Lytechinus pictus: one gene and its partners. The protein of the gene in region 3 binds, or shares a complex with, the protein of the main gene of each other region. Links are inferred from orthologs where the notes say so. Each region holds a gene or a part of one and is shown on either strand. Other genes may lie near its edges. The genes, in order: RNA-binding motif protein, X-linked 2-like; RING-type E3 ubiquitin-protein ligase PPIL2-like; pleiotropic regulator 1-like; pre-mRNA-splicing factor ATP-dependent RNA helicase DHX16-like.

Evidence for each region.
Region 1: pleiotropic regulator 1-like (region 3) and RNA-binding motif protein, X-linked 2-like share a complex: the UniProt entries of both Homo sapiens proteins name them as parts of the minor spliceosome. The link is inferred for Lytechinus pictus from reciprocal best matches to the Homo sapiens genes PLRG1 and RBMX2.
Region 2: pleiotropic regulator 1-like (region 3) and RING-type E3 ubiquitin-protein ligase PPIL2-like share a complex: the UniProt entries of both Homo sapiens proteins name them as parts of the minor spliceosome. The link is inferred for Lytechinus pictus from reciprocal best matches to the Homo sapiens genes PLRG1 and PPIL2.
Region 4: pleiotropic regulator 1-like (region 3) and pre-mRNA-splicing factor ATP-dependent RNA helicase DHX16-like share a complex: the UniProt entries of both Homo sapiens proteins name them as parts of the minor spliceosome. The link is inferred for Lytechinus pictus from reciprocal best matches to the Homo sapiens genes PLRG1 and DHX16.

The regions. Positions count from the first base shown.
Region 1 is NC_087260.1:9,505,377-9,512,796, reverse strand, and holds the start of RNA-binding motif protein, X-linked 2-like, read right to left. Parts: upstream 3,016-7,420; 5' UTR 2,905-3,015; coding exon 2,900-2,904; intron 1-2,899. UniProt on the Homo sapiens protein: Involved in pre-mRNA splicing as component of the activated spliceosome. As a component of the minor spliceosome, involved in the splicing of U12-type introns in pre-mRNAs.
Region 2 is NC_087246.1:20,478,967-20,486,633, forward strand, and holds the start of RING-type E3 ubiquitin-protein ligase PPIL2-like, read left to right. Parts: upstream 1-4,663; 5' UTR 4,664-4,800; coding exon 4,801-4,832; intron 4,833-6,437; coding exon 6,438-6,487; intron 6,488-7,115; coding exon 7,116-7,161; intron 7,162-7,605; coding exon 7,606-7,667. Other genes in the region: uncharacterized protein LOC129283664, read right to left, coding at 1,439-1,569, 2,908-3,153, 4,197-4,212. UniProt on the Homo sapiens protein: Has a ubiquitin-protein ligase activity acting as an E3 ubiquitin protein ligase or as an ubiquitin-ubiquitin ligase promoting elongation of ubiquitin chains on substrates.
Region 3 is NC_087249.1:42,998,832-43,006,530, reverse strand, and holds the start of pleiotropic regulator 1-like, read right to left. Parts: upstream 3,019-7,699; 5' UTR 2,960-3,018; coding exon 2,913-2,959; intron 1,227-2,912; coding exon 1,090-1,226; intron 1-1,089. UniProt on the Homo sapiens protein: Involved in pre-mRNA splicing as component of the spliceosome. Component of the PRP19-CDC5L complex that forms an integral part of the spliceosome and is required for activating pre-mRNA splicing.
Region 4 is NC_087259.1:20,692,956-20,700,326, forward strand, and holds the start of pre-mRNA-splicing factor ATP-dependent RNA helicase DHX16-like, read right to left. Parts: upstream 3,013-7,371; 5' UTR 2,992-3,012; coding exon 2,788-2,991; intron 2,208-2,787; coding exon 2,064-2,207; intron 1,413-2,063; coding exon 1,324-1,412; intron 337-1,323; coding exon 174-336; intron 1-173. UniProt on the Homo sapiens protein: Required for pre-mRNA splicing as a component of the spliceosome. Contributes to pre-mRNA splicing after spliceosome formation and prior to the first transesterification reaction.

The DNA of each region.
Region 1 (7,420 bases), on a different chromosome or scaffold from region 3:
CTTATCAGCTGGTAGGCTGAAACGAAAACATCCTAAACCACACACACACATACCACGTACATATATGCTTACAGTGCGTCTCAGAAAAAAGAAATCGCGTTGTCAGAGTTTTCCAGTAGAGACGACTGGTTGTTTTTTGCTATCGCGGAGTATTTTTTACAGGGACAAGACAACATGGGACGACCTAAAGAGTGATGTAATTTTATTTTACTCTCAAGAATAATAGGGAATTTGTATTATAGGCAAACGAGATAGCGATGCCTATTATGATTGTAAAATACTCTTGGTTCGTTAGTAGTTACTATAGTAACACTTTATTTGGGCTCTTTATTTCCAAATGAGAGGAGATTTAGAATTACATAATACTTCTTGAATTCTGCCATGCAAGCATAATTTGCTGAAAGTTTTCAAAATAAGGATTTACTCTCATTTCGTTGTCAAATATAGTTCGATCAAAATTTATTTGATGATTGTGAATCTAGGTTCTGAAAAACGGGTTCCCTTTTGCTGGGATGCAATGTCATCACACTTCCGTCTCTCGGTCGATTGAACAGGAGAGAAGGGGAAACAAGCTGGACGGAAAACATCTGCCGCCTTTCTTGGTCCATCAACGGCACCAAACCAGTCCAATGGCAATGTCCATATCATAAAATTATTATAGCTTTTGATTTGGTTATTTCTTGAAGAGAGGGAAGATTTTTTTTCTAATCAGTCCGTTTGGAGTTCATTTTGTGAAAACCCAAAGAAAGGACTTGATAAAGACCCTTATTAAACAGGTTTTTCTCTCCATTCTTCAGTGCTTTACGCCCTTAATTAAAAAAAATACATCAAACATGTTGCTGTTTTTAACAAACCATTCAATGATAGAAACAAGCGATCAGAGCATAAAATGAAAGAGAGAATAAAACAAATGAAAGGGACGAGTGAGAAATACTAGCACGAGACATAAATTTTGATGTTCACTTTTTTTATTTATTATTAAAGAAATCATGAGTATATGACCAAAGTAACAGCTGCAAGATTATTGGGGTAAAAATCATTTCGATAGGAGGGCATTCTGTGAAAACCTTCACTTTCTATATATTTGTCAACGAAGCAAAACAAACAAAAATCAAAATCACTGAATGGAAATAAAGATAAAAGGAAATATGCAATATAGAATTACAAATATGAAGAATACGATTATAATATATGCTTCTCATTTTCCAACGTTCTTTTCCTATTTTCCACAAACAAAGATCAGCCAGAGGGTTCAGATTTTACCAGATACATCATTATACAATAAAGAGAAAAAAAATATAGGCCGAGGTTCTGTCCAATGGAAAATAGAAAGTGTCATATTTGAATTTCTTCCACCCTCTAAGAACCTAAGAAGAATAAACAAAATGGAAAAGGTTTTTTTTTTCATCTACGTTCACCTGAAGTCTGAAAAGGGATTCAGACTTCAGAAGTATTCGTTTTTTTTTAAATTATACTTCATTTCTTCATCATCATATAACATGAATTGTGAAAACAATGTACATGTATATCATATGCCTATATTGTATGAAATTATTAACATATTGGTTATTGGTTCTACATTTATAAATTAACCTTTTAACATTTTAACACTAAAGAGTCAATATATGGACATCTTTTTTGACAATTTATATTCACAAGGGGAGAAATACAGAAAAAAAATCTTCAAGAAATATCTATAAACAGAATTGTAAAAAAAACGCAAACATACATGCATAAAAGGTCCTATAGGCCTATTCTAGATACCTGTAAGTTGAACATGATTTTATTATTTCATGTACAATATCAGTAAATCAAAATATTATGAGGAATTCATAATAAAAAGACACAAAAAATATGAACATAAAAAGACAATCTCATTATCACGCTAGGCAAAGCTTCACAAGTCTACCCCCCCCCCCCCCGATCCCCCACCACGGCCACCGAAACGATGCATACATGAAAAGGAGTGAAAGGCTGGCCGGGGATATGGTCATGGGGGAAAATGTGAAAAGAACCCGAGAAATGAAATGATCGCGATCGAGGAATATATTTTGGTAAGGATCAAGGAGATTATGACTAGATCTGTTCGATCAAAAGAGCTTCAGCTCCTTGGTTGATTATGTACCAAGTCGCGTGCCGCCATTATTTTTATTCATCCGTGGCTTGCGCTTATGTCTGCTGCTAGAGCTCAATAGAGCGGGCGAACGTGTACCCTCAACTAACTCAAGCTGTAGTGTCTTTGCTACCGGTCACGGCAGTGCTAGTGCGACGTGCTGCTAGAGCTAGAGCGGCATAGTACGCACAGACAGCAGCTGGCGATGCGTAAGGGCAAAATGCAACTGAGCTCCGCGGCTCCGCCAATTTTCAACAATTCGATTTTTTACATTCGATTTTTTTCTTTGATGGGCATGATCGAAAATCGGCAAGTGATCGCCGATTGTGGTGAAATCGAATGGAATCGGTTGCCGATTGCAAAATCGGTTACAAGCTTAGTTCATGATGTTTGGACCTCATTCAATTGGTACTAGGTCGTGGGTTACCACTGCCACTGCACTGTACATGCCGCCGCGCACAGAAATATCAAGCCATAGAAGTCGGGTGTTGTGGACACCAGAAGTGGGATCCCAGCACGCGTGACCCACTAGTTAGAAATACACTGCCAAACGCGGTTCATGGTGCGAGGTTATACTATTAACCTCGCAATAAAAGAGTGATCCCGACCCTACAAAGTCAAAGACATGACATAAAATTGAGCGAGTGGGACAACATATATTAGTTTATTACTAGTCGAGTGAGAATTATAACGCAGCTGAAAAAGAGACAACAGATTGAGTGTTAATATTGCTGATATCATCATTTACACTGTTCATACCCTAAATTCAAGATTTCATCAACTTACTTCATGATCTCCGCGGGGATTTCCGCACGTACCGGTACATAAATTAACAAACAGACATAGCATAAAGAGGCAGCCCTGCATGCATAAGACCAACCAACGTAGAGGGCAACAACACGGGCCTGTATTGACGGTGCTCTCAAGATGCATAGGGGTGCCGTGGACGACAGAGTGGTCTATTGTTCATGGCAAGTCTCGGGTTCGATCCTCGGCCTATATATGCCCGACGTGCTCAAATGCAATCAATCATCATCTCGATTCTGATTAATTTTCGGCAAACTAAACTTCGTTCCGGAAGACATAACAATCGAGTCTAGTTTATACTGCAACTGCTGTGAATAAAGTGTATTTTTTTCTTCTTTGTTAGCTAGTTTCAGTGATATGATTAACAATATAAACATTTTTTATGTTTTATTCTAAGTGAAATGATGTAAGCATATTTTGAAATGAAGAAAATGCTGATTATTTTCCTCAGTTATTGTTGGCACTTTTCAATCTTTCTAGCACAAGCGATTTCAGTTGATTATAGATTTGCAGATTGACATTAGAAATAGAAATAATAGTAACTTTTTTTTTCAAACAAAAATGTCAGGTCCATCATACCGCCATTTTATACTCCTCTCTCCCACACTCTCTTTTGATATTTTTTTTCACCAATACCTTTTCTTATTCTCACTACTATCAAAATATCTATATTCTCTCTCGAGAATTAAATATGTATTGTGTTGTTGTTGAGGATGCTAAATCAAATTATGCCCGTCTTAAATATTAGTAGGAGTGGGCTGTACATGGTCATGGGTCAAATATATATATATTTTTTTTTTGTTATTTTGATAAGGGAACAGTTCTTTAAATTCCTTTTAATGTATCTCAATATGAAATGACAATATTTTTTGGTCTCGGGTCCCCCAAAAAGTGTGCCGGGCCAATTAAAATCCTAAATGACCGCCACCCCCCAATCACATATTTTGTCCACAACTATTTTATTTGGTGGTCCTTTTTCTGATTTTGGTGTCTGTTTCTGGGAGCAGGCAATTTGTTTTGGCTAAAATTTGTAGGGCCTGCTACACTGCAAAAACTCTGGTGTTGATTTAACACCAGCCCGGAATCAATATATGTCAACACCAGAGAAGTGTTAAACAACACCAGTTAAGTTTTGGTCTAACACCAGATATGTGTTTACAACACCAATTAGTATTAAAAGAGCATCGGCTTGATTCCAAACCGGTGTTATCTAAATATTTCTCTGATGTGGACATATTTAGATTCCTGGCTGGTGTTAAATCAACACCGGAATTTTTGCAGTGTATAAAACCATTATTTTGTAGAGTTGAAAGGTGATTTTACCTACTATTTGTCATTTATGATGGTGAGGATAAAGGAGGAAAGATATGAAGGCTGGGGTATTTATTAATGTTTCAAAATCATAACATTCACGAAATTGCACACCCTTTTCCTGATTTGGATTATGACAGTGCTTATCCCCCCCAAAATCACAACTTTCTCTGTGTGTGGTTTGTTAAGTTTTTATTGCTGTTGCTATCGTCCTCTTCAATGGAAGTACCCCCCCCCCCCTCAGATGACCCTCAAATGGCAACTGGAAAAAAAATGAAGAAAAAACAAAGCAAATTGGCAACAGGTTAATTATTTGGAACCTTATTTCCCTTTCCCCAGGTAGAGCTGAAGGGGTCCAACGTGTCTAAATTTGTTTACAGAAAACCAAAACCAAAGGAAACATTTGAAGAGTAATATGAGAGCAATAAAAAAAGCTTTGTTTTATCAAAGTTACAAAATAAGAGTTATGTAAGTGTGTAAAGTCTTGATGTAAATTCAATGGGTGTCCTCATATTGGCAACATGCTAAATAATGACTAATTTCGCTTTTTACACAAATTTTCAAAATTACCTTACAAACCACATCTTGCTTTATTTTGAGCGCAACATAATATGGGAAAATACAATTCCTACCATATGTCATGGTCAGGAGATATCAGATATATTTTGCAAATGTAAGCAAGCTTATGAATAGTGTTTGCAAGACTCTTTAAGCTTCCATAACTCTCTTATTTTATAAGCGATTTTTAAATTATTTTTTGGTTTCTCTTACTCTATTCTTTCAAATAAGCTAGATTCTTTCTTGGGTTTAGGTTGCCTATATTTATGTATGCAATATTTTGTAGTCTTTCATAAATAAAGATAAACTGAAATGAAGTGAAAGGAAATGGCTTGATTTTTTTTTTCAAATAAAGAGTGGCACAATGATTCATTTGTTTGTTCACATCTTTCACAGAAAGGCTATTCATGTATATAGACTATTAAATGTTCAACATAACAATAAAACATAAAAGAAACAGCACATCAATATTTTTCTTCAGAATTATCAGTTTAATAAGTGTCATAAATAACAAAATATTATTCAAGGCCATATGGTAAAAAAGAAAATCATACTACATAAATTGATGTAACTTCATATTCTTGATACACCAAGGCAAAGGGACATTTCAATGAACACAAAAGGACATAAATGATTACTTGCCTCAAAGAGATTAAACAGATAAAAATTTTGACTGCAGGTGATTTTGAAGGTTCTTTATTTCAACATGACAAAGAATGTGTTGATCAGCAAAGTAAAAGGAATGCATACAAGTTAGAGAAAATGTCATATGACCATGTCTGGTGACCTAGTGTTGCAACCTCTCAAATGTCTTGTAAGAAAGTATATAAATTGATAATAAACCCCAAAGTTCAATGACCTCAAATGACATTTGACCTTCACTGGTAAACACATTGATTTAATATCATTTGTGATATCCAATAACCATTTCACACATTTCACGTTTCATTTAGTTAGATGAAACACTTTTAAGATGACGAACATAACTTTTTTTTTATCAGAGTCGATTGATCTGAAATTACATTTGACCGTCACCCAGGGATACAATTGTTAATCATGTAATTGATGACACAAAATGTACCTAAAAACATCAAAATTTGAAAGAATAACTCTTGTCCTTTGTTATAAACGAAAATACTTTAATAGCTGAAAATGTGGTCTTAGTTAACCCAAGTTTAAACCATGGCTATCAGAATATGACCCAAAGGCCCGTATTCTGAAGTCGGGTTTAACAAAGACCATGGTCTAACTCTGTGCTAAAACTATGGGAAGCCAAACGTTTCAAAATTTTGTTTTTAGAGTGAATGCTTCTCATGTTTACTGTGCTCTTAACTAATTCTTTATTGGTGAAGACGACTGTCATACTTATCTTTCCCAGGCAGTTAATGTTTTGGGAGTCAAATGAGCTGATACATTGAACCTCTACTTGTTGTAGATTTATATAACAACTGGCTTTCCATAGTTAAACCACAACTAAAAACCAGAGTTTAAATTAAACCCGACTTCAGAATACGTGCGAAAGGGTTTAGCTCAATGTGGTATTAGATTACATGAGAAAGAGACAAACTGCTCATGATATAAATACTCTAAACTGCCTGTCAGTGATTCTCACTGCAAAAGGTTCATAATTATACAATGGTACCTACAGTTAAGGCCAGAAGTTTACATACACCAAGGAAATTTAAAGAAAAGCTGACATTTGTCAAACGTCATAAAATTTACTGTATCTTATCAAATATTTTTGCTATCATGACGAATTTGATATCAAATTCATGAGTATGTCATATATGCCCCTTCATCACATTGATTTGTCACCAGGAGCTGAAAAAAATATTTAGGTGTCATTTTCCCCAAAAAAATCTTCATATTTTAGACAAATTAAAAGTAATAACTTGACAAAAACATTTCATATTTGCGCTAGTTACTTCCCAACACAAACATTTCAGATTACACTTTATTGTTCAGTGGTGACATATCATGATAGAAAATGTAATCAGTCAGTCGGCAAGCCCTCAAAAAGTAGCTTCTTTTATCCAAGTGATATTCATGACTAGAGGGTTTTTGCATTGTTAATGAGCTTGGTGCGGACGAAAACACCTCTTTTTATTCGGGCATTGCTGCTCTAAATATTGACCAAATTTCATGTTTTTGGTATCTTTATAAAGAAATATCATTCTTTCATGTCATGTGTCTGGATTTTTAAAAAGATTTTATAACATAGGTGAAACTTTTGTTCTAAAACATGAAACAAAATAATTATTTTAATGCAAAAAAACTTGTTGTTTTAACACTTAATTTCTCGTTGGGCCCAAATAATTTTTAGATTATGATAAAGCTCAAGATCTAAGCTTTAATATGATATAATTTTCATAAGAAGAGGTATCTTAGATGGGTCAGCAGCCAGCTTTTAATAGGCCAAGTACATTTAGCAGTTTAAAATCAAGAATACCATGCTTTGTTTGGTCATAGAGACCACACACCCACGCAAATTCCAATGTTCCCATTCAACCAATCAGAACTCTAGATTTTATGCTACTCAGAAATTTCAGAAATCTCGTCTTGCATTTCGGTGGAAAAAGCTGGCTGCTGACCCATCTAAAAGGTGCCATATATCAATAGTGACATTGTAAG
Region 2 (7,667 bases), on a different chromosome or scaffold from region 3:
AGAGGGGATAGAGAGATACAAGAAAAAAACTGAAGGGATGGGTGAAAAAATGATATGGAATATATAGTCAGAGAAAAGGGGAAATACACTGAAATGTAGGCTAGAATCAAAGACGTAGATATAGATGAGTGAATAGATAAATTTATAGAACAATGGTAATATAGAGAGATAGATAGATAGATAGATATATATATAGGTAGATAGATAGGTAGGTAGATATATAGATAGATAGAATTAAAGACCAAGATATAGATGAGTGAATAGATAAATTTATAGAAGAATGGTAATATAGATAGATAGATATATATATAGGTAGATAGATAGGTAGGTAGATATATAGATAGATAGAATTAAAGACCGAGATATAGATGAGTGAATAGATAAATTTATAGAAGAATGGTAATATAGATAGATAGATAGAATAGTAGATAAAAATAAATCGATTGATAAATAGAAAATTATAAAGAAATATAATTTCAAATTACGCTATATAAGCACAAAACGTCACCCCCCCCCCCTTTGTTCCTACTCCTTTTCCCTCTAATTTTTATTCCTTCCTTTGGCTCCATCCTTCTGGTCTTCCCTGAAATTACCTTTTTTTTTGTTTTAGTTACTTCTTTTTTAAATCCCGTTTATCTTTCTCACCCATTTTCTATCACTCCTTTTCTTTCTTTTTTCTATTTCTCCCTCTCCCGTTTATACCTTTACATTCATTTCTTTCTCATTTACTTTCCATTCTCATTTTCTTTTTACGTCTCCTATATTCTTCTTTTATTTGCCTTTTTCCCTCTCTTTCTTTCAATTTTCGGTAGTTAGGTGGCCTTTCCGACTAAAACTTTTCACAGCAAGACATAATTATAGGGAGATATTCATTGATGTATCAAAATGAGGTGAGAAGAAAATTAAGGGAAAATTTGACATTGAGGGTATATCATACACTCTTAAAAATGTTGGGCAACATACGGTCCACACAACAATTGGTTAAAACTTTATCCAATTCTGGGTAGTTTTACACCAATACTGTGTAGTTTTCACCCAAAGCACACATTATTGGTGTAAAACTACCCAGAATTGGATAAAGTTTTAACCAATTGTTGTGTGGACCGTATGTTGCCCAACATTTTTAAGAGTGTAAGGACTCGCATGCTAGCTTTACGAAAAACAAATAAACTTTATTAGTCATTAGACTATTTTTAACCTTTCAGCAAAGTTAATTATGTACATTCAAAATATAAAACAATAACAAGATATATTTTACAGTTGAATTTAAACAATTTATTCGACCAATGCATGCTATTCATGTCAGTATTGCGGCAAAATATTACATTAGGGACAATTTATGCATTATTAATAACATGGTCAATATTACTGCACTTGGCAAGAATCATAACAGCAATTAAAAGGTTTTTTGGGTTTGAGAGTTCGTGAGTTCATTCAGTCAGTGCCTAGAAGTTGATGCAGAAGACATATACGGATGATAACCCATTGGTGTGTAGAAAGAAGACGGTGTTCGGTGAAGATACTCAGCGCTAGAGGGAGAAGGAGAGTGACTGCTACGAGAGAGAGAGTCTACTGACGCCAATGCAGTGGCGTAACAGGCGGGGGGGGGGGCAGGGGGGGGGGTAAGCTGCCCCCCTGGCGGAGCTCACCGGGAAAATAAAAAAAAAACGGGAAAAAGAAAAAAAGGGAGGAAGAAAGGGAAAGGGAAAGGAAAGAAAAGAAAAAAGGGGAAAGGGAAAGGAAAAGGGAAAAGAAAACTAAGAAAAAAACATAAAAAAGGGAAAACGGAAAGATAACGGGAAAAGGAAGGAAAAAAGAACAAGTGAGAAAAAACAATTCGCCCCGATATAATACAGTAGCATGATTAGTAAGACAGGGAAATAAATTAAAGATGACAAAAAGGCAAACAAAAGCGGGAAATAAAGGCCCCTATATGGACCCTTCCTGCATTAAGCTTTACGTTGAAACACTGGCATACCGGGGGGGGGGGAAATAAAAGAAAATAAAGGAGGCAGCGAAATTAGATGAATGAAAAAAATATATGACATGATATTTGCTATAATGATGTAAAAATCTATCACATAATTAGAATTTCATTTTAACAGGCCTTTTTTTTATTGGCTCGCTTCGCTCGCTGGCGACTTTTTACAAATTTTCCCACATTTGCTATGGTGTGCCCCTCACAATATGTGGATGATTACGATACACAACTGCATTGAATTTATGTGTTGTGTTAAAGCTTTATAAATATACACGCAATTTGATTAAAATAAGTGGCCATCTGCAAGGTTTATGGCTTTGATATCAAGAGGTTCCGGGGTTCTACCCTGGACCCCACCATAAAGCACTGTTATATGGATGAGTTGGACCATGGCCCCCAAAAGTTCTACAACGAAACAAAAAAAAAATGAGGAAAGAAAGGAAAGTGTATTATATTTTTCTGAATATCACGTTAAAATCTATCTTCATGTTAGATTCTCATGAAAAGGTGATTTTTTTTATCTCGCTCGCTTCGCTCCCCCGGACCTATATTAAGCTACTTCTTGCCAGAAGCGCCATACTCGGCCCCCTCGAGCATATAGAGCTTCGCCCTGATGCTCACAATCATAACAAAAATCCTGTTCACCGTGGCGTACAAAAAAGAGAGAAAAAAGGAAAAAGAGGAGGGTGAAATAATTATGATATCATCTTTTTAACATTATGTCAAAATCTATCACAAAATTGGATTTTTGCAATAAAAATGTATAAAAATTTTGCTCGCTCGCTTATATATATATATATATATATATATATATATTGGCCCGATATGCCATATCGCCCCCTCAAAATTTTTGCCTTATGACGCCATTGCCTGTTCCATGATATGACCGGGACATTTTTGGCTCTTGCCCCCCCTTGGCCACCGACCCCTGTTACGCTGCTGCATCAATGGACTGGTGGCGCCTTTCGTTGAGTCACGTGATGTCGTGCAGTGGAGCTGAGTGACGCCATGACATTGAAGATGTGGGTCCAATGAAACTGTCGTTGACTCTGACGTCGATCGACTGCTTTCAGCGAGAAAGTCGACAGAGAACTTGGATGACACGACGCCCAACTTCTTTGTAGGTGGTGTCGTCTGGTTGACCTCATCGGCGTCGCATGGTGTCTTCCGCTCTTTCAATTTTTGGTAATTAGGTGGCCTTTTCGACTAAACTCTTTCACAGCAAGGCATAATTATAGGGAGATATTCATTAATGTATCAAAAAGATATGAGAAGAAAATTAAAGGAAAGGGATTTGACATTGTTGGTATATCATAAGGACTCGCATGCTTCCTTCGCGAAAAACAAATAAACTCTATTAATCATTAGACTCTTTCGAACCAATCAGCAAAGTTAATTATGTACATTCAAAATATAAAACAACAACAAGATATATTTTACAGTTGAATTTGAACATTTTATTCGACCAATGCTATTCACGTCAGTAGTGCGGCAAAATATTACATTAGGCGCCACCAGTCCATTGATGTCAGTAGAGTTTCTCTCTCGTAGCAGTCGCTCTCCTTCTCCCTCTAGCGCACTGACTGAATGAACTCTCGAACTCTCAAACAGAAAGGAACTTTCCATTGCTGTTAAAATAATATTCTTCTCAATTGCACTAATATTGGTCATATAATCATAATGCTCAAACTGTTCTTATAATGTTACAATTTGTAAAACTATTAAAACTAGCAGGAATGGCATTAGTCGAATAAATCGTTTGAATTCATTTATAAAAATATATCTTTTTTGATGTACATATTAATTATCTTTGCTTTAAGGTTGGAAAGAGGTGGGATTGATAAAATGTATGCCCTATTTATTTTTAAGTGAAGAGACGTTCTCACTACAAGTTTCCACTAAACTAGTTTCCACTGAACTAGTTTTAGGAAGGGAGTGAGAACGGTGTCTTATATAGTGCAGTAGAATATATAATTTAGATAATAGTTTCTGCGCTCTGAAATCTATAAATTTAGATCTATACTATTCATTTTATTTAAAATGTTATCACTCTCTTATCTTGCATCCAATTTTTTAATGAAATTTTCAGTTTTTTTCTGGGGTGCATGGACTTGACCTTTAAAATTAAATAACTTCGTTATTTGTTATCCGATTTTGATGATATTTTCAGAATTTTGCCCTGTGAATTTTACATTATTTATTGAGATATGAATACTTCCAGCCTGGACCATCCCTTTAAATCCCGAGCTGGGTTTTTCATTTGCGTTTCACACGGGATTTCAAAATCCCGAGGGGGTTTAAAATTCTTGGGTGAATTCGGGCCATAATGTTTATACACAAAGGAGTCGCTCGATCGCTCACTTACTTTTTGGTGTTGGTGTTGGTGTTGAAACTTTGGATTGCTTAATTCCCCCCCCCCCTCCCTTAGCTCCAAAATCTATTCTGAGTTTGTAAAACTGATCCAGATCACATTATTGACATCTCAACAACTAGTGAGTGACTTCTCGGCACCATCTTCATTTTATGTTTGGTGTTATAATCGTGTAAACATTGACCTAACAGGTTAACACCAACATCAAACGGTCAACACTGAACTCGAAGTCACCCATTGGCATTAATCCCGGGAGTATACCCCTCACCATTATTTTGATTCACATAACGCCAGCTACGGTAGCTTTTTTTAAACTATACGGTATGGTACGTAGGACGTAGAACTTAGATCATCATTAATAATACTTAGTGGAGAAAATCGACGCGGAACTCCGGAATTTTATTGAAATTTAATTTTTACCTTGTTCAAGTAGAGTCGATAAATCAAGATGGGGAAGAGACAACATCAGTCAGATAAGATGTGAGTATTGTATTTTATGGTTTTCCCCCTTTTCATCTGATTCTTTAATTCACGGTTTCTTTAGTTTAGGGCCCCTGGCACCTGCGGGTTTCTCCCATGTCACAACGCCGGTCTGGGCGGCGGAGTGCGTAGTAGAATCCCGTTGGCGTTGCTTGCTCTTGTACTGTAGGCGAAATTTCTGCCTGGCTGTTTCACTTTCAAACACAAACTGACAAAGCAGGTTGTGAATTGTGTGAAGGAGGTTGAGGGGGCTGGCGATGTCGCAAAAATGTACTGAAATTTAAAATGAAGAAATCTCTGGTTTTCTTCTGAAAATCTGCATTGACGATTGATCTGACCATGCTGACTGAGTTTGCGAACTTTCTAACAAATTGAAATTAAGGATTGTATCTTCAAAATGACAGCAACAAAAAACCCCACAGAAAATCTCCACCCCATTCAATTGATTGAATTTGCACAGAAATCAAGCCGACAGCATGCTATCGGTATTGCTAGCTAGTGCCATAGTGGGCACTCACAACATTGCAAGGTTAGTGCTATACCGTATACGAACCTTGCACAACCAACATGTTTTTGTAGAGTTGTCGTTAACATCGCTTCATAACGTGAATGATGTTAGCCGAAACCCATTCCGCTACTCACCAGGGCTTTTTCTGGTAGAAAGCGTTCCATTTTCAATTTTTAACATATTTTTTTAATTTAAAAAGGACACAAAAAAGAGCAAAATCGCTTACCTCCGCCTGGAAAGTGGCTTCGCACGTCTCTTCCACGGAAATAAAAGGAAGGTCGTTCGTGGCGCTAATACAGTTCACAACCTTAATTCAGCTTGGTGGTATTTTTAAAACTAGATTCATGATTCATTGTATGCGCAATTCCAATAATTGTTTGATAAAATAGAGACCCCAATAAATGCAATAACTTAAAAACCATGTCACTTTAGTACAAATGACCTTCCTCTGATCATGCGCAGAATCTTCTGATCATGCGCAGCTTGAAACAGCTTGAAAACAAACGGCATGACCAGTTATTTTTTTAACAGACATTTCATTAAAACAACTGATTCTTCCATTTGAATTTACAATAGAATGTTTCATGTTTATTTCTATACTAAAATTTATTGTTGAATATATGTTGTTGAAAATTTCCCTCCCCATAATAACGTTGATTACAAATATCCATTGATTTGATCGATTTGATGCAGCAACTTTGAGTATGCGGCATTGTAGGCCTTATAATATCATAACCACTTTACAGTGAACCATGTGATATTGTTACCCTGGCTGTACTTCACCTGGGAAACTCCAGATAACTTTGCCTGTTTTTTTTTCCTGTTTTAATAGAAAATCATCACTTTGGCCCATTTCATAAAAGATTTATGATGATGGTAACTTTACCTTTAAAACTATGTTCCGTGGTTACAGAGTTCAGCATCCTATCAAAACAAGATTTGCATTAATACCATAATGGCAAAAGTACCATCATCATAAATTTGTACGATGGGCCCCTGGAGTAGGATTCAACCTATTATCTTCTGATTGAAAGGCGAGTGTTGGAACCATTTCTATTACTTTAATAGTTTGCAAACTTCTTCTCACAATGAAACAGGTATCTGACCTCCAAGGAGTGGACGGCATTCTACGGTGGCAAGAAAACTGGTAAGAGAGATTGAAGTTTTCTCATCTCTATCCATCTTTATTCTCTGATCTTTTTAATGTTAGAAGACATTATAATAATCATAGAGTTGAGATGAATAGCAAAGAGGCAGATGGCACAATAATGAGCAGTAACAAGCTATCAACTTGGAACATGACATTTGGGTATTTATTTTTTTGTTCAGATAGGGTTCACCCCATGGTGGGTGCTAAAATTGCACCCTTTCCAACATCTGAAACCTTTAGCATAGATCTGGCAAGGGGGTTAGCATTGAAATTGCACCTAGAGCTCTGATATTTTTTCATGGTACACCAGTGCTTCTGAGGTTTGTGGATTAAACTTTCAAGGTATATATTTTTCTCTCTCTTTTTCTTCCCCTTTACTTTAACATTTTTTGCCTCCGACAAAGATTCTGCTAGGATCGAAAGCTTAGGCCCCTATTGACTTTCTAATTTACTCCATTGGCTCTCTTTTATTAGATAAGCAGTTTTCAGCAGCTTCTTTTTGCCATTTTTTGTACCCGTTAAAGTGATGCCATTGTAAGTTGTCCATCTAGTCCCCCTGATATACATTGTATACTCTTTATGAAAACTGAATAATTTTCTTTCTTATTTTAATGTTGTATCACAGAATCACAGAAATCTGAGTTTCGTAGATTACCATTTGATCATTGCAGGTATGTGATTTCATTCATTAGAAAATCTTAAAGAAGGGAATACATAGGAATTTTATAAAGTATTAGCTATATTTTCATATATAAGATTTTATACTTATTTCATTTCCTTATGTAAATTGAAGAGTTATTAATATATTTAAGCGCTTAGAGAAATTTTGTTAGGCGCTATGTAAGTATTGAATTATTATTATTATTATATCGTATTTAGTATTGTTTCATGGTTTGAAGTATTAATCATATGACAGGTCTTTTTTTTCAACCGTGCCGGGGGGGGGGGGCAGGCCTACATATGCACAAAATCTCAAAAACTTTTTCAAATAATAATAATTAAAAATTAAACAGTTGTATTTAATAAATGTACTTCTAAATTTTTTTGCACAAGATATGATTAAACGATTGTATTCTTATTCAAATAGTATTTACATTTTTTTCTTATATCCAAAGTCTATCCCTTCAGCCTTTTGAGCACCCCTACTGTACTTCAGATGGTATTATCTTTGATCTGA
Region 3 (7,699 bases):
ATAGGCACAAAAAACATATTCCCGGATATTGAACAAACTATGTTGGTTTTTCTTTTAAGTAGCAACAGCATTTTTTACTCCATTTTTGAAAGCCATCTTGGATTTTTGAACAAACCGGACCACTGACTGTCCTTGTACTTTGTCCCAATGTCTTATTTGACCATTGAAACCATGGTCTAGACACCAAAATCATATCTCTCAGGTGGATATGAAATGAACTATGTCCATTTTAATTATCAACATCCATTTTAAACTCCATTTTTGGAAGCCATCTTGGATTTTTGGACACACCAGACCACTGGCTGTCCTTGTAACTTGTTTCAATGTACTATTTAATCCTTAAAACCATTGAATAAAAAACAAATTTAGATGAATTGTGGATTTTCAGCCTACAGCAGCCATTTTGGGCGCCATCTTGGATTTTCCTGGTACCCTGGAGTGCTAATATTCACTCTAACTTGTATAAATAAATTATTTTACCAATTGGACCATGGAATATGAACCCAAATAGGATTCTAGGGTGGATAATGATTGAGTTATATCCATTTTTAGTGAATGGCGGCCATCTTGGACGCCATCTTAAAAATAACCACTTTCCCGGATGCGGATTTTGGTAGATTTTTAGTATGTTATTTCTAAGGTCAGATAGTACAAAATACCGTTGAAAAATCATTTGTTGCAATTTGTTCCGGGTCAAACCATATATTGACCCGTCTACAGTAGGATTTTTGAAATGAAACTACTCAGACCTTAATCATATAGTGTAATTGAGCGACTTCTATAATTTCAGCCAATTCTTCTTTATTGGTATGATTTTTACGAGGTCGCCATCATTATCAAGCCTTATTGCTCACGATGGCAGTCTCCTGCATTCTTTTAAAACTGTCATTTTGTTTGATATTATTGAACCGATGCTTATAATGTAACTATATTATAAATTTATTATATATATTACATGTTTACATATATTACCTTGTAAACTTATATCTGATATATTCCGTTCGACCGACCGACCAACCGACCAACCAACCAATCAAACATTAATGTTCATAATGCCTAAATTATTATACAATCAAGTCATCGGGTTACCTTGTTCATACTCCTGGCTCCCTTCTCTTATTTCTCTGTGTGATAGTTCAGCTATTCTCTGGTGTTCTGTGTTAGCTGTAAGATTCTGTACCATCCCATACTGATCTCTAACTTTGCAGGCAACCTTAACCGTATCTCTGTTAGCACACACAAAGTAAAGGATATACATGTATATATGGAAATATTTGGCACGGAAAGTGACAAAAAAATGTCGGCGTGTTTCTACAGAGAATCATTAAGAAAGGTTCTTATTCCGGAATCGAATAACTGTATCGCCCTTAAACTATCCTGTTTCTACAGAGCGAATAATCCAATTAACTCACATTCCGCGTTGCAAATAAACGGATAAACACGGTTATGAGAAACGGTGATTTGCGCGATGTGGTTTATCAATAAACCGCATCGTGCAAAATACGGTTTCTCAGAATCACCTCTGGGAGGTGTTTATGAGATGCAGTTTATCAATAAACTGCATCGCGTCTGTTTCTACAGGGAAGTTTTTCCAGAATTCTGGATTGATAATGGATACTTACGTGGGTAATACCGTTGAATGGTTCTCTGCAGAAACAAGCCATTTGATTACAAAACTTTATGAAAAACATCTCATGATTGAGTAAATTCCAACTATTCCAATTGGTAAAATTTCTCCTTATTCTCAGACCTGCCAACCTTCTACAAAAAAAAGTATTCTTAGAAGGAAAAAGAGTATCTTTAAAGATTTGTCTCAACGTAACAATTGCCAGCCTGTTGTAGTGAGATCAGTAAAAAAAAATATGTGAAATGACTCTACTTGAAAACTTGATAATTCACCATTTTAACATGTGCTCGTAGGCAAGAATTTACTTGTTCTTTTCATGTAACAAGTTACTGGCCTGACAGTGATTTTTACCGGTCTGGGACGGTCGGACCGGCGTTAGTGTCGCGTGCTGTGTGTAATCTATACTCCATGATCGGAAATTTAAAGAAAAGTATTTGCGTATTCATAGCAAAAAAGAGGAACAAACACTCTAAAAAGGGAACGGTTGCATGTCTAAAGCTCTCACTGAATGTCTTCTGCATTCAATCAAGTACTTGTGTGGGTTATTGTTGATCAATATTGACAAGATATTATAAAGCTGAGGATGTTTTTTTTATGGTTGATGATCCTTTTCACCTAAAAACTTCCGGCATTAGTTTATGACGTGTACTTCTAATTCCATCAAATACAACTTGGTTTACTATTGAAAAAATTATTCCATCCTTTAAAAACAAATAGTGATTTTGTTCAAAATTAAAGATACTATTACATGTAGTTACACCCTGATTGTACACATATTATGTAACCAGAACATGCACGTAGATACAAGCAAGGTGTAACGATTTTATCTCTTTAAGTGTATCCTTATATTATTTTGGAATAGGGGAAATCAATAGAATAGAACTAAAAATCAATGCAAACCCTGCATTTTGAGAGTGATTTTTGAAAGGAAGTCATCCATGACATCACAATGATCACAGTAAAAATAATGCACATTATGCTATTGAAATTGATAGTAGCAAATAGTAGTGCGCAGCGCGATGCTTGAATACACATGTAATACTGTCTCATATTACGGGGTTGAAATCATCACTGGGAATGCGCGTAACAATGAGAACAACATTAAAACAACAACAGCTTGTTCAATATAGGTTTGTCTCACAAACAAATTGACCAATCAGATTACAGAATTCATGAGAAATATGGCCCACTAGGAGATAAAAGGTTTATCATAACATATGAAAGTGTCAAAAACAATATGCCCATACCAAAGATGTACTAATAAAAAATGATGTTTGATACTTACGCATGAGGATCCCTGTTAGGAGGATGGGCATTATCAGCTATGAACATTTCATGTGACCTCTTGAGTGATCGAAACACCAGGGTATGGACGGACTGTTTACTGACCTGTAAGTTAAATAAAACATTGACATTTTACCCTGAATTCATGCAAATTCAGCCTTTGACTACTAATCAGATTTCATCATGATAAATACCAGGTATTGAAAATTATCTACTACACAAATAATTATGTTTTTGAGTGCAATGGACAAAGTACTTCAAAGATGAATGATCCATTAATCTTATTCATTACATTTTTCCCTGAATGAAGTATTTTGTCCATTGCATGATTGAAAAGAACGTCCATTATTTGATTTATACGACACCTAAGAATAGATCCTTTTTCATTTTGAATTTATGACTTTTGATGCAAAATATGCTCATGCAGTGTGAGCTCAGTCTGTTGATTGTCTTGTACATACAACCGTCGTTTACATACAACCGTCGTTTCTATACAACCGTCGTTTCTGGGGAATTATTTAACAATTTCTGACATTTCACTATAATCCCTATTCACCGACGGTAGTGTGTTAGCAAGGCTCGACATTAGCGGTGGCCCGGGGCCACCAGAAATTCACCTCGGGCAACCATTATTGAAAAAATGTTAAGTTTTGGTGGCCCGAATAGAGCAACCAATAATTTTCAGCGCAATTTTTCTCCCGATTTTGCATGCATTTATCAACTTCCTACAGTTCAAATTGCAAGCCAATTCGTCATGCGCCCTTTTTGTTAATCTACACACACACAAAGATTGCATAGTCATGACAGTATGTAGGCCTACCGCTATAGCATACAGTAACTTTTATCCAGCTGTGCTGGCCGTCTGGCGTGAGCTTTGCATGCATGAAACTACTGAAGCTAGCTGTGCGCTAGCAGACTATTCAGACTTAGGGAGCTGCGATACGAAATGTTGCTGCTAAGAAATCTTCCACAGAACTTTGAAAATCTACGTCAAAGTCACATTTTACACCAATGAAATGCCCTTCTACAGTCCACATTACTAAAATCTGGTGTAACCTGTTTATTTGCAAGCATTAAAAAGAAGAATTATGACCTCTCTTTTGACTCAAAAAGACCAATTTCCAAATGCATTAATACACATCACAGTCCCACATGTGCATTTGTATGTATGTTGATACTTGGTTTCTTTCGAAGCTGTGTCTTTTCTAGCTAAAAATAAACAGACAGTTTCTTTCTTTCTTGTTTATAAATGACTTCTTAAACCACTCTTGAGGAAGTTAATACTTTGGGAAGGCATTTCATTGATATGAAATGTGAATTTTTCCAGCATTTTGGCAAATATAGGGAAGGATTTTTTTCTCACACTGTTTTTTCCAGATATAACTTTTGCCGTTGTCTTATTTTTCTCTAAATTTTTTCTTTTCTTTTTTTTCCCTGTTCTTTGTTTTTTTCTTTCTCCATTTCCTTTCTTTCGTTTTATTTCACTTATTTATTTTATTATTTTTGTTTTCTTTTTTTAATATACTATTCTAAAAATTATTTTTGTTTGTTTCCCCGTTTTATGCATTAATCTAATTTTGCAGCATATTTTTCTGTGATTTTCTCCTGCTATGATATGCTGGAAAAGAGAAAATAAACTGGATTTGGGGCCTGCATAATCTACATATAGGTTTTAGGATTAAAAAAAGAAGAAGGGAAAAATCATTGTTTTGTACATCTATCTGAGTTTGCTATGCACTATTTATTTACTTACTATTATGAGTGTGTGTCTATACAGAGATTTTTAAAAGTCCACACAACCTGGGAACAATACAATTCTTTTATTCTCTTTCAATCATTTCATATTTACAATAATAGAACAATTTATATATTAACACAAATCAATTAGCAAAGTAAAATAACAGCAAACAAGATTTACATACAAGATGTATTAAGTGAAAGTAACTTAGTGGTACTGGCTGCAGAATTAATATTTCAGAAGTTTGTTTTATTCATTTTTAATTCATGTTTTTCTTTTTCTTTTTCGGGCCACAAAAGTTTAATATCGGACCACAAAAAAAAAAATTTTGAAGGTTTTGGTGGCCCGAACGGGACACAACAAAAAAAGTTAATGTGGAGCCTTGGTTAGTGCGAGCCTGCATGTGTAATCAGGTCAGCAATTCGGGCGACCGGGTTTTGACCAGATTTTAATTTTTTTTTTTATTCTAAATGACATTATATTATCTAGAACGAAGGCCCACTATTTTTTCGTTAGACTCTAATCTTTCTTTTGATACTATATAAGTTCTAAGAAAATATCAAAAATATACGTTACCGATGATTTATTCCTTATTTTTTTAATTTTCCGCCGGAGAGGAAAAATGGCAGCCGTGTGTTGCGCTTTTATCAAGGCTTTCCGATTAAATTTTCGATATCCTGGCCAATCAATGCGAGCGACAAGTTCCGAACGCACGCACATCTACAAGCGCAAAGCAGCGGCACAAATCGCGATATATAGCGACTGGTAAATACGTCTGTAAGGATGATGACGTCATCCAAGATGGCAACTTACGTTGACCAAAGAAAGGATCGAAGATGACTATGTTTCAATCATCATTTGAAAGGAATTAGCGGTAACTGCGGTCTGAGGTACGATATTTCTTAATTTTATATTTTTTAGTAAGTTCGAATGTACTTTCTTTTTTATGTGACATTTTATGTACAAAAATACGATCCGAAAATTGGGTTTCTGCAGAAAGTTAGATCTAACGTTACTGCTAATACGTCGGCTGTACGTACGGGCCAACAACTCTTCAGTCTATGTATTGGTGAGTGGAGCCAACGCAGACAAGTCGCAGTTCAGCGGAACAACCAAAATACAGAGACTGAAGCTTTTTGGTCTTACGTTAGGCATGGCCCGTGTTTTTGGACCAGTCGCCCTCGACTAACCGACTAAAACTAAGTTGCTGTCTGTCATGTCCGTCTTTCACTTTCTTTTAAGCCCGAGTCATATCGATTATTTTGAAAACCGGTGTTCGACATCTTTAATTAGATCGATCATCGATGAATCGAAATTTGAAGGTGGGGAAAATCGAGTCATTGTTTTTGCTCCGGCCGGCCGTCGATGCAGCGCTATGCATGCACTACATGCACTGACGGTCTACACTGGCTGGGTGAGCGTTGCAAAAGCAGATGACAGAGCAAAGTTCGTTTGTATTTTCCATGATCAAAAAACACAAAAAAGGCCGGGTAGCAATGCAGAATTCTTCCCAAAATATCTTCAACAATGATATTTGCAGATGATAACATATAGGTTTAAAATGAAACAATATTAAAGAATTGAATCACGCAGAGTCGATCCGAATGATTTTCGGTCAACTAGCATTCGCAGTCCAGACTCGCACACACCAGCCCCGTCCGCAGCCCCGTTCACTCACTCTCCCGAAACGACAGGCGTGCTTGCCAGCGCCATCTAACAAGTGCAAACAGCGGGGAGAGCGCTGTAACTTGCCTGAGATTGTGTAGTTGGCGGGGTAGTTGGATCCAAAATTAGCTCCAAATAAATTGATGGAAATAAATACGTAATTTTCTCTGGATGGTCATTTGAATTGGTATTCAATGCTGATATAACGATTGTGAGGAAAGATTGTGGAATATGAGTTCTGACGATGTTCGAGACTTAATCCTGATAATGATAATCCATTTTTTTTTTACACGAGCTTGTGATCGAAATAAATACGAATGTCTCGGATCGAGCTCTAAATTCATATAAATTATTATTGGATGTTAAATAATTACAATTTAATAAGATTTTATGGCCATACTAAAAATATTGACGATGTCAACAAAGTATGTTATTTTCATATGGAAGAATTAATAGTATTATACTGGCATTATTTTTATTTTTTATTCCATCTCTGGACGTCTCCGAGCTCCGAGAAAAGAAGCACAATGCGCATGCGCTTTCGATTACGTCTGACATATTTTCCATTCATGAAATCAGAGCCCAAAGTTGGGCACAAACCACTCACACTAATACGAGGTTAGTATATATACTAACCTCGTATAAGGGACCGTGTTTGACCCTGGATTTCGAAGTAGTCGGCAAACATCGCTTCATTGCTGAAGTAATATTTGCCGAAACTCCTTCTCGCTACGCACCGGGGCTCTTTCCGGTAAGTAGCAAAACATAACAAAATTATACATATGAGTTTGAAATAATTTCATTATAAAAAGAGCAAATTTCGCTTACCTCGGCCTAGCAAGTGACTTCGTTTGTCTCTTCTACGAAAATACAAGGAAGCCCGCTAATAATTTCACAACCTTGATTCAGCTCCTCTGTAATTTTATAACTGAGTCTAAATTCTTTGAATGCTCAATTCTTAACATAATTCAAGATTACTATTGGCAGGGTGCTACACAACTTTTTTGAAGCACTTGCCCAGTCAGGCAAGTAAATTTTCAAATAGTTGGAAAATACTTGCCCGAATATATATTTCACTTGCCCGAAAAAATCCTTCAAAACAAAGTTTTATTGCTTCAAAACAAGTTATAGCCTTACAGTTTTACATACCATACCATTGACGGCTTTAAAAATACATTTTTCAACATGACTACTGATGTACCTTGTAGTTGCATTTCTTTTTTAAATGATTTTTATCTTGAACATCATGACAAAATAAATATGCTCTTTAATTAATTTCCTAATCTCATATATTTTCCATATATTTTGGAGGAGAATAGGACACACAATAAAAAAGGGGAAATCACTGAAAATGACCAGAAAAAAAATTAAGAGAGGGGGAGAGA
Region 4 (7,371 bases), on a different chromosome or scaffold from region 3:
AGCAAAACTTTTAACTGACTTTTCTCATTCCACTTCAAAATTAAATGAAATTTCAGCATTTTGAAATGCTTTCTTGATTTTTCTCTCTTATGCAAATCGACTTGATGTTGGAGTAAACTTGGCCGGTAAAGAAAACTCTATTTCCATTCCAAACCATTTATCAAACTACCCACCTTCTTGCTGCTCTTATTAGTTTTCTTCCTTGTTCGTTCTTTATCCTTGTTTTTCAATCTGGCAGCGAATGCATCTCTCTCTTCTAAATCCCTCCTCCTCTCCTTCTCTTCATCCTCCGTACTATCAGATTCTGAACTTGACTCCTTCTTGATATGAGCTTGCCTGATTTGGGAACAAATGAAATTGTGCATTTTTCACTGAAAGTTTTAAGGCTGAGTGATCAATCATGCTTTATTTTAACAACTGATTGTAGAAAGTGGTCATGCAATGACATAATTTTTTAAATGTTCTACGATTATTACTATGCTTTCTATTCCTGGTTCAAATTTCAATATTCAGAGAAAACAATATTTTATGGAATTATATCATGTGACAAATGGGGCCCGTAGCATAAAACTTTTGCCATAAAAAACTCTGGCAAATTTTTTGCCAGAGTTTTTAAAGTGTAATTTTCAATGGCATAATTTTGTTTGCCAGAGTTTTTGTTTATTTGCCAAAGTTTTTTTTATGGCAAAAGAGTTGCTTGTATATAATGTCACAATATCAAAACATAACAAATACATATCTCTGTTTACCTATTTGATTTTCAACAAACTCTCATTAGGATATTTCTCTCATGTTTCTCTTTTTATTAAATCCAATTTGACAACAGGGTGAATTTCCCCGTTATGATAGTACACAAACTAACATTATAAGATGTAACAAGATATTTTAATATGTGGGGAGACAAACAAAAGCTAAAGCCCAATCAGAGGGTTGTTCCTAAAATACAACACAAAAGATAAATATGCACACATCTCACTACAAAATAAGAAAGAGCAAAGGACATACATCTGATCAGACTTGAAGAAATAATTATACTATACACTTTAAAATGAGAAAAAAAGAAAAAAAAAGCTTTTGCTCATAGTGCTCCTACTTTGTGGAATGCACTCTCTTCAACAATACACAATGCCAAGTCTATAGTCATTCAAAACCAACCTTAAGACATATCTATTCTCATCATATTAAAAAAAACACCACCCTCCTCCCATTTCTGTGTAATAATTCCCTCTGTGCCTCTGAAACTAGATAGAAGGCGCACTCTAAATGCTATATATTATTATTGTTTTTATTATTAAGTATATCCAAAGTAGATATCAGTCTTACCTCTTAGGTTCTGGCTCGCTATCTTCATCACTACTCTCTTGTTTCTGTTTTCTGATGTGCTGTCTCTTTTTACCAGTAGTCTTCCGTCTCTGTGTCAATTAATAAAAGTGTCATCAGTCCTATTATAACTATTGTTGTCATCATAATCATCACCATCACTAATATAATCATCTTTACCATCACCATCATCACCATCATCATCATCATTGAATTCATTATCATCATCATCATCATCATCAACTTCATCATCATCATCATCACCACCACCACCATCATAACCATGATCATAATCATCAATATCTTCATCATCACAATGATCATCATCACCATGATCAACATCACCACCACCAGCATCATCACCCTCAACATCAACATCATCATCACCATCATCATCATCAACATCAACATCATCACCATTATCACCATCATCATTAACACCATCATCATGAACACCACAATCATCACCATCATCATCATCATCATCATCACCATTATCACTATCATCACCATCATCATTAACACCATCATCATCATCACTACCTTCTATCACATCATCAACATTATAATTATCATCATTACCATCTCTATCGATATCATCATTACTAACCTTAGTATAACTACATCTTCATACTACTGTCATAGCAGAATTTAAACCACACATTTCATGTACATGTATGTATCATTCTGGAGCTGATCCTCATGTCCAATACATCTCAAAAGAACCCAAATACAGATATTACCTTTTCTCTGACAATTCTAACCAGTTGCTCTTCTTCTTCCTCATCATCCGAAAGGAGCTTGTATGACCTATTCTTCAATTCTTGTTCTTTCGCTTGCTTCTCTTTCAGTCTATTGGGATTTATAGCTTGCTGCTTCCTCGGTATCTGGAAAAATACGCCAAGGGGAAAAGGAATTGTACAGACTTTGTACATCTTGATCTGTTTGTAATGCAACCCTTCAGACTAATGTGATAAAAATTTTGACAGCATGAATTTGACTTAAATCACTTTGGGCCGTCTAAATTCTTGATAATCGAAAGTCCTAGATAATTAGCAGGTCTCAAGAATATTGAACTGAGGATGCCCTATTGATTGGCCTCAGTTTCCTTCTCATTGGCCTTGAAGATTTCATTCATTGTACTTTTTCAACTTTCACATTTGAGCTGTAATAAAGAAACTTGGCCATTGGGAAAAGTAACTTTGCCATGAAAGTACCAGAATTTAAGCCCCACTGGTCAATAATCATAGTACTAGTAGTTGAAATTTCAAAAGCACCTTTTCCACAAGATAAAAAAAAAATGGAGATTCCGTCCAGTTCGTCATAACAGGAGATATAATACTTACAAATTGCAAATGATAGAGGTTTACTATTCAATAGTTTGTGTTTTCTCACTTTCTGACATCAATGCTTCCTACAAATAAAATGCTAAAAATAAAGATTTCTCTGGTTAAGTGTTATTGGTACCTTATTGAAGAGTTCTCCTGCAAACCTGACCACACCATCTGAGATATCAATGGTCCCAGTCTGCCTGATTTGCTGTACCAAGTCTGAGCTGCTAGACGCCCTCTTGGCAAGTCCGACAAGGAATTCTGCAATGTATCTGTCACTGATTCCAAGGACATCATAGAGCTCGTCCTTCACCCACTGGTCCAGGTTGCCTGATGCCATATTGATGTATTGGCTCAAGGATCACCTGTAAAAATAACAATGTGGAAGAGTAAGAGTTACCAAACATTATTACATTATAATCCTAAGTCAGACTCCACTCTAGATCTATTTTCAAACTATTTTTTCATATAATTATAGACCCCCAAGATCTACTTGAAAGTGAATTTTTATTTCAGTCAATCTGTGACGGTTCATTAGCAGACCATTTCCACCAGTGGGGCAAAAAGTTTGCAGATGATTTTGGTCACAGAAGATGGACAAGTTTAACCCTCTCAAAATATTCATTTGTCCATGAACTTCCACAACAACACAGGGCTTATTCTAAGTTATTATTGCTGATTTGTAGACACCGAGAGTCAAATGATAAGTTTAGTATAACTTTATGCCTACTTTCAAGGTACCGGTATGGTTTCCAAGATATGATAATTCAAGATTCAAAGTTTGAATCTTGATTGAATAGATGGTTGGTTTTTCATTCAATATCGATGCTATAAGTATCAGAGTAGACAAGTGCACTCTTAGACTATACGTTTTCTCCCAAATTAACTTAAGTCTAACTAACGTGCTAACTTTTAAGTAAAAAAAAAGGACAATTACCCCTATGAATCTTCACATTTTTCATTGGGTCGGAATATTTTTAGCCCTGCCTCTGCCCTAGCCAGGAGGCTCCTAGAGAGTAAAAATCATTCACTAAAATTAACTTACTCTCCATGGAGCCAGGGATTGTGCCTATATCATGTGCGTAAAGGACGGGCAAAATAAAAACTTTCGCCCACCGAGATTTCTACTCTTCCTGTAAAATTTCTAGCTAGAACTTACATGTAATTTCGGACATTTAGGCCTGTAAGTTATTGATTACATTTTTAAAACAATATAAATAAAAAAACACCAAAAATTATTATGAAAAGATGAGATTTAACTTACCTATGTTTACGCTGCCATCTTGCCTTCTTTGTTAGTAGTTAAGCTAAGAGACACATATAGAGGACGGAAAATATCTGCCACCCTCTATATGCACTTGTATACATAGGTCAGTTAAATCTCATCTTCTCATCATAATTTTTTGTGCTTTTTCATATACATTGTTTTAAAAATGTATTAATATCGGAAATGAAGTTCTAAACCACTCACACTAGTGCGAGGTTAGTACCAGTATGCTTTACTTACCTCGTACACCGAACCGCGTGTGGCCCTGGATTTCTAATTAAAATTAAAATTACAATTGTAGATCTATGGCTACTCACCGGAAAGAACCCCAGTGAGTAGCGAGAATGAGTTTTGGCAAATATTACTTCTTCAATGTTTGCCGACTACTTAGAAATCCAGGACCAAACGTGATTCGGTGTATGAGGTTAGTATAGCATACTAACCTCCTACTAGTATAAGTGGGGGGGCGAAAGTTTCAATTTTGCCCATCTCGTCTCTCTATACACAGCTGGCAGCCGTCTGTTCGAGGAGTTTTTAAACATTTTTAATTTTTTAAAATTACCCTCATACACAGACGGCTAGCGATCGTGCAGCCGCCATTAGGGGGTTAACAATGCAAAATCAATTTTTGTCTTTATTTCATAAAAATATATACAAAGAACTGGACCAAAATAAAGATTATTATTCCGTTTTGGCCTGAAATGCACCAAAACAGGAAAAAATAAAACTATGAATTACTTCCGCTGTCGCGCAACTCCCATTTCCTGGTTTATCTGAACTTAATACATAAACATATATATGGCCATTGAGTCCCTGTACAGATCGAGCTAGAACTTCGGTCTCTGTAATTGGTGAGTGGAGCCAACGGAGTTCAGCGGAACAACCAAAGCTTTTGCCTCTCTACACTACAGCTACGCACATGAAGGCGTGCACGCGCACGCAATATCTGGCTTCTGGAGGGTAAGCTAACGTTAGTGAATGATTTTACTCTCTAGGAGCCCCCTGAGAGTCCTTGCTACTCTGACCCTTCAGCGGCCTGCGGCGGAGCTGCGTTGCTTGCTTTGCCTCACCCATGGGTGCATTACTGCCGCCATGTACAGGAAAATTGAAGGCGCGGCGCATGCAAAATTGCAACAAAATCCCGCAAATTTAATAAGAGGATTTACAGGATCAAGTCCTCCTACGAAACTTACCGAACGATGTGAAGTCAATTCTTCCTTTTTCAAATTTTTTGTCTAATAAGCTAAAGAGGGCGTGCGATTTATCTTATATCAACTACAAGGGAAAGACTAGGCACAAAAACTATCTTACACGTAAATCGATGCAAAGCGTTACGCGAAGTTGGCAAAGTGTCCAATCTTTTTACTGTAATGTAAAGACTTTGGTGGAACATTAATTGACAAACAAACGGTAGCACTTGTGGGGCTTCGTTCAAGGTAGTAGAATTTTCTATATTTTTTGTTTAATTTGTCATCGCTTTGAATATTTTCCAAAAAGTATCATCGTCAGCAAAAATAATATAAAAGTACCGGTACCGGTACAATGAATGAAGAATCTAGTTTTTAAAATACCAACAAGCTGAATTAAGGTTGTGAATTGTATTAGCGCCACCAACGACCTTCTTTTTATTTCCGTGGAAGAGACATGCGAAGCCACTTTTCAGGCCGAGGAAAGCGATTTTGCTCTTTTTTATGTCCTTTTTAATTTTAGAAAGTCAAAAAGGGGCCTAAGCTTTCGATCCTAGCAGAATCTTCGTCGGAGGCAAAATTTTTAATTTTATATAGAAATAAGTTAAAAATTGGAAATGGAACACTTTTCACCAGAAAAAGACCTGGTGAGTAGGGGAAAGGGTTTCGGCTAACATCATTCGCGTTATGAAGCGATGTTAACCGACAACTCTAAAATCCATTACGTTAACACGTTGGTTGTGCGAGGTTAGTAGGAATCAGGGACAACTCGGACCACGGGACAACTCGGACCGCGGGCCGAGTTGTCCCACCCATTAAAAGATTTTTTTTCTCACAAATTTGCGTCTATTTTTCCGTCATTTCGAAATTTCTTGTAAAGATTTTCTAGAGATATGGTCTGATGGTAATGTTCTTCACTTTCTATTGCTTTTTTTTTCGCTGAAATAAAAAAAGAGTGTAATTTTAGGCGTTTTTCGACAGCTCGCGATTCCCATAGGCGCGCGTGTATTAACTGTGTCGGTGCTCGGCTCGGCCCCGCTCAACAACTGACTTGATTTTGTGATCATTTCTCCTCAAGTTACCACTTTTATCGCAGAAGATGGACTTTCTTGTATTCCATTAACTCCATTTTCTCATCACAAGGATAAAATTTGGTGCATTTGCACGATTTTGTTAAAGTTTTTCACCTTTTCTCTCTGGTCGCAAGAAGCGAACAACCGATGAACGGTCCGCTGCTCTTCATCGCAATTCTACGTAGCTCGGCCGCCTAAACTGGCGGGGTGGGATTCAGCCCGAATCCCCAATGGAAGTGGGCGTGCACAGTCAAAGAGCTGAGCTTGACTGAGTGAGAGAGTGAACTAGAGCTTGAAGCTTGGCAGTGTCGTACAGGCTCTGCCTTTTTTTTGTAAATATTTATATATATATTTTTATTTTTTCTATTTTTATTTTCCCTGGTGTAGAGCTTTAAGATTGTAATAATTTAATATACTTCAATTTCTTTGACTGAGTGTGACTGTGGTGTGGATGTTTGAGTCGCACAAAAAATACTTTTACGTGGGTGGGGGCTCGGCCTCGGGGCGATTCACTCCTGCCCCCGAAATGTGAAAAAATATTCGCAGTGTAGATGTGTGGGCATGCCGGGCTGAGAGTAGCCATCAATAATAAATGTTTTATTTGGGGGCTTAATTTTTAACTTCAAATTGATTATTTTTAGGCCTTTTTTTTTTACATTTTTTTTTTTAGATTGAGTTTCCCTGGTGTAGAGAGCTGAGTTTTAAGTTGCAATAATTAATATGCTTCAATTTCTTTGACTTTGAGTGTGACTGTGGTGTGGATGTTTGAGTCGCAAAAAAAATACTTTAACGTGGGTGCATGGGGCTTGGGGCGATTTCACTCCTGCCCCCGAAATGTGAAAAAATAAATATTCGGGGTGTAGCTGTGTGGGCATGCCGGGCTGAGGGTAGCCATCAATAAAAAAAAATTTATTTGGGGGCTTAATTTGAAATTAAATTATTATTTTTTACAGGATTTAAAACAAAATGATGTAATTTATTGTCCCCCTTTCCATTCCTCGTTTTTCCCTGATTTACTTTCTTTAATATCATTTCTTGGTCTTAAGGGTGGATGTCAGGCTGCCGGGGTGGAATTCAGCCGGAATTGCCAATGGAAGTGGACGTACCTGCACAGTCGTGAGCTTGGAGACTGAAGCCTTGCCCTATACAGTTGTGAACATTTTTTTCAATCAAGTTTTAGGGCCACTCAGTGT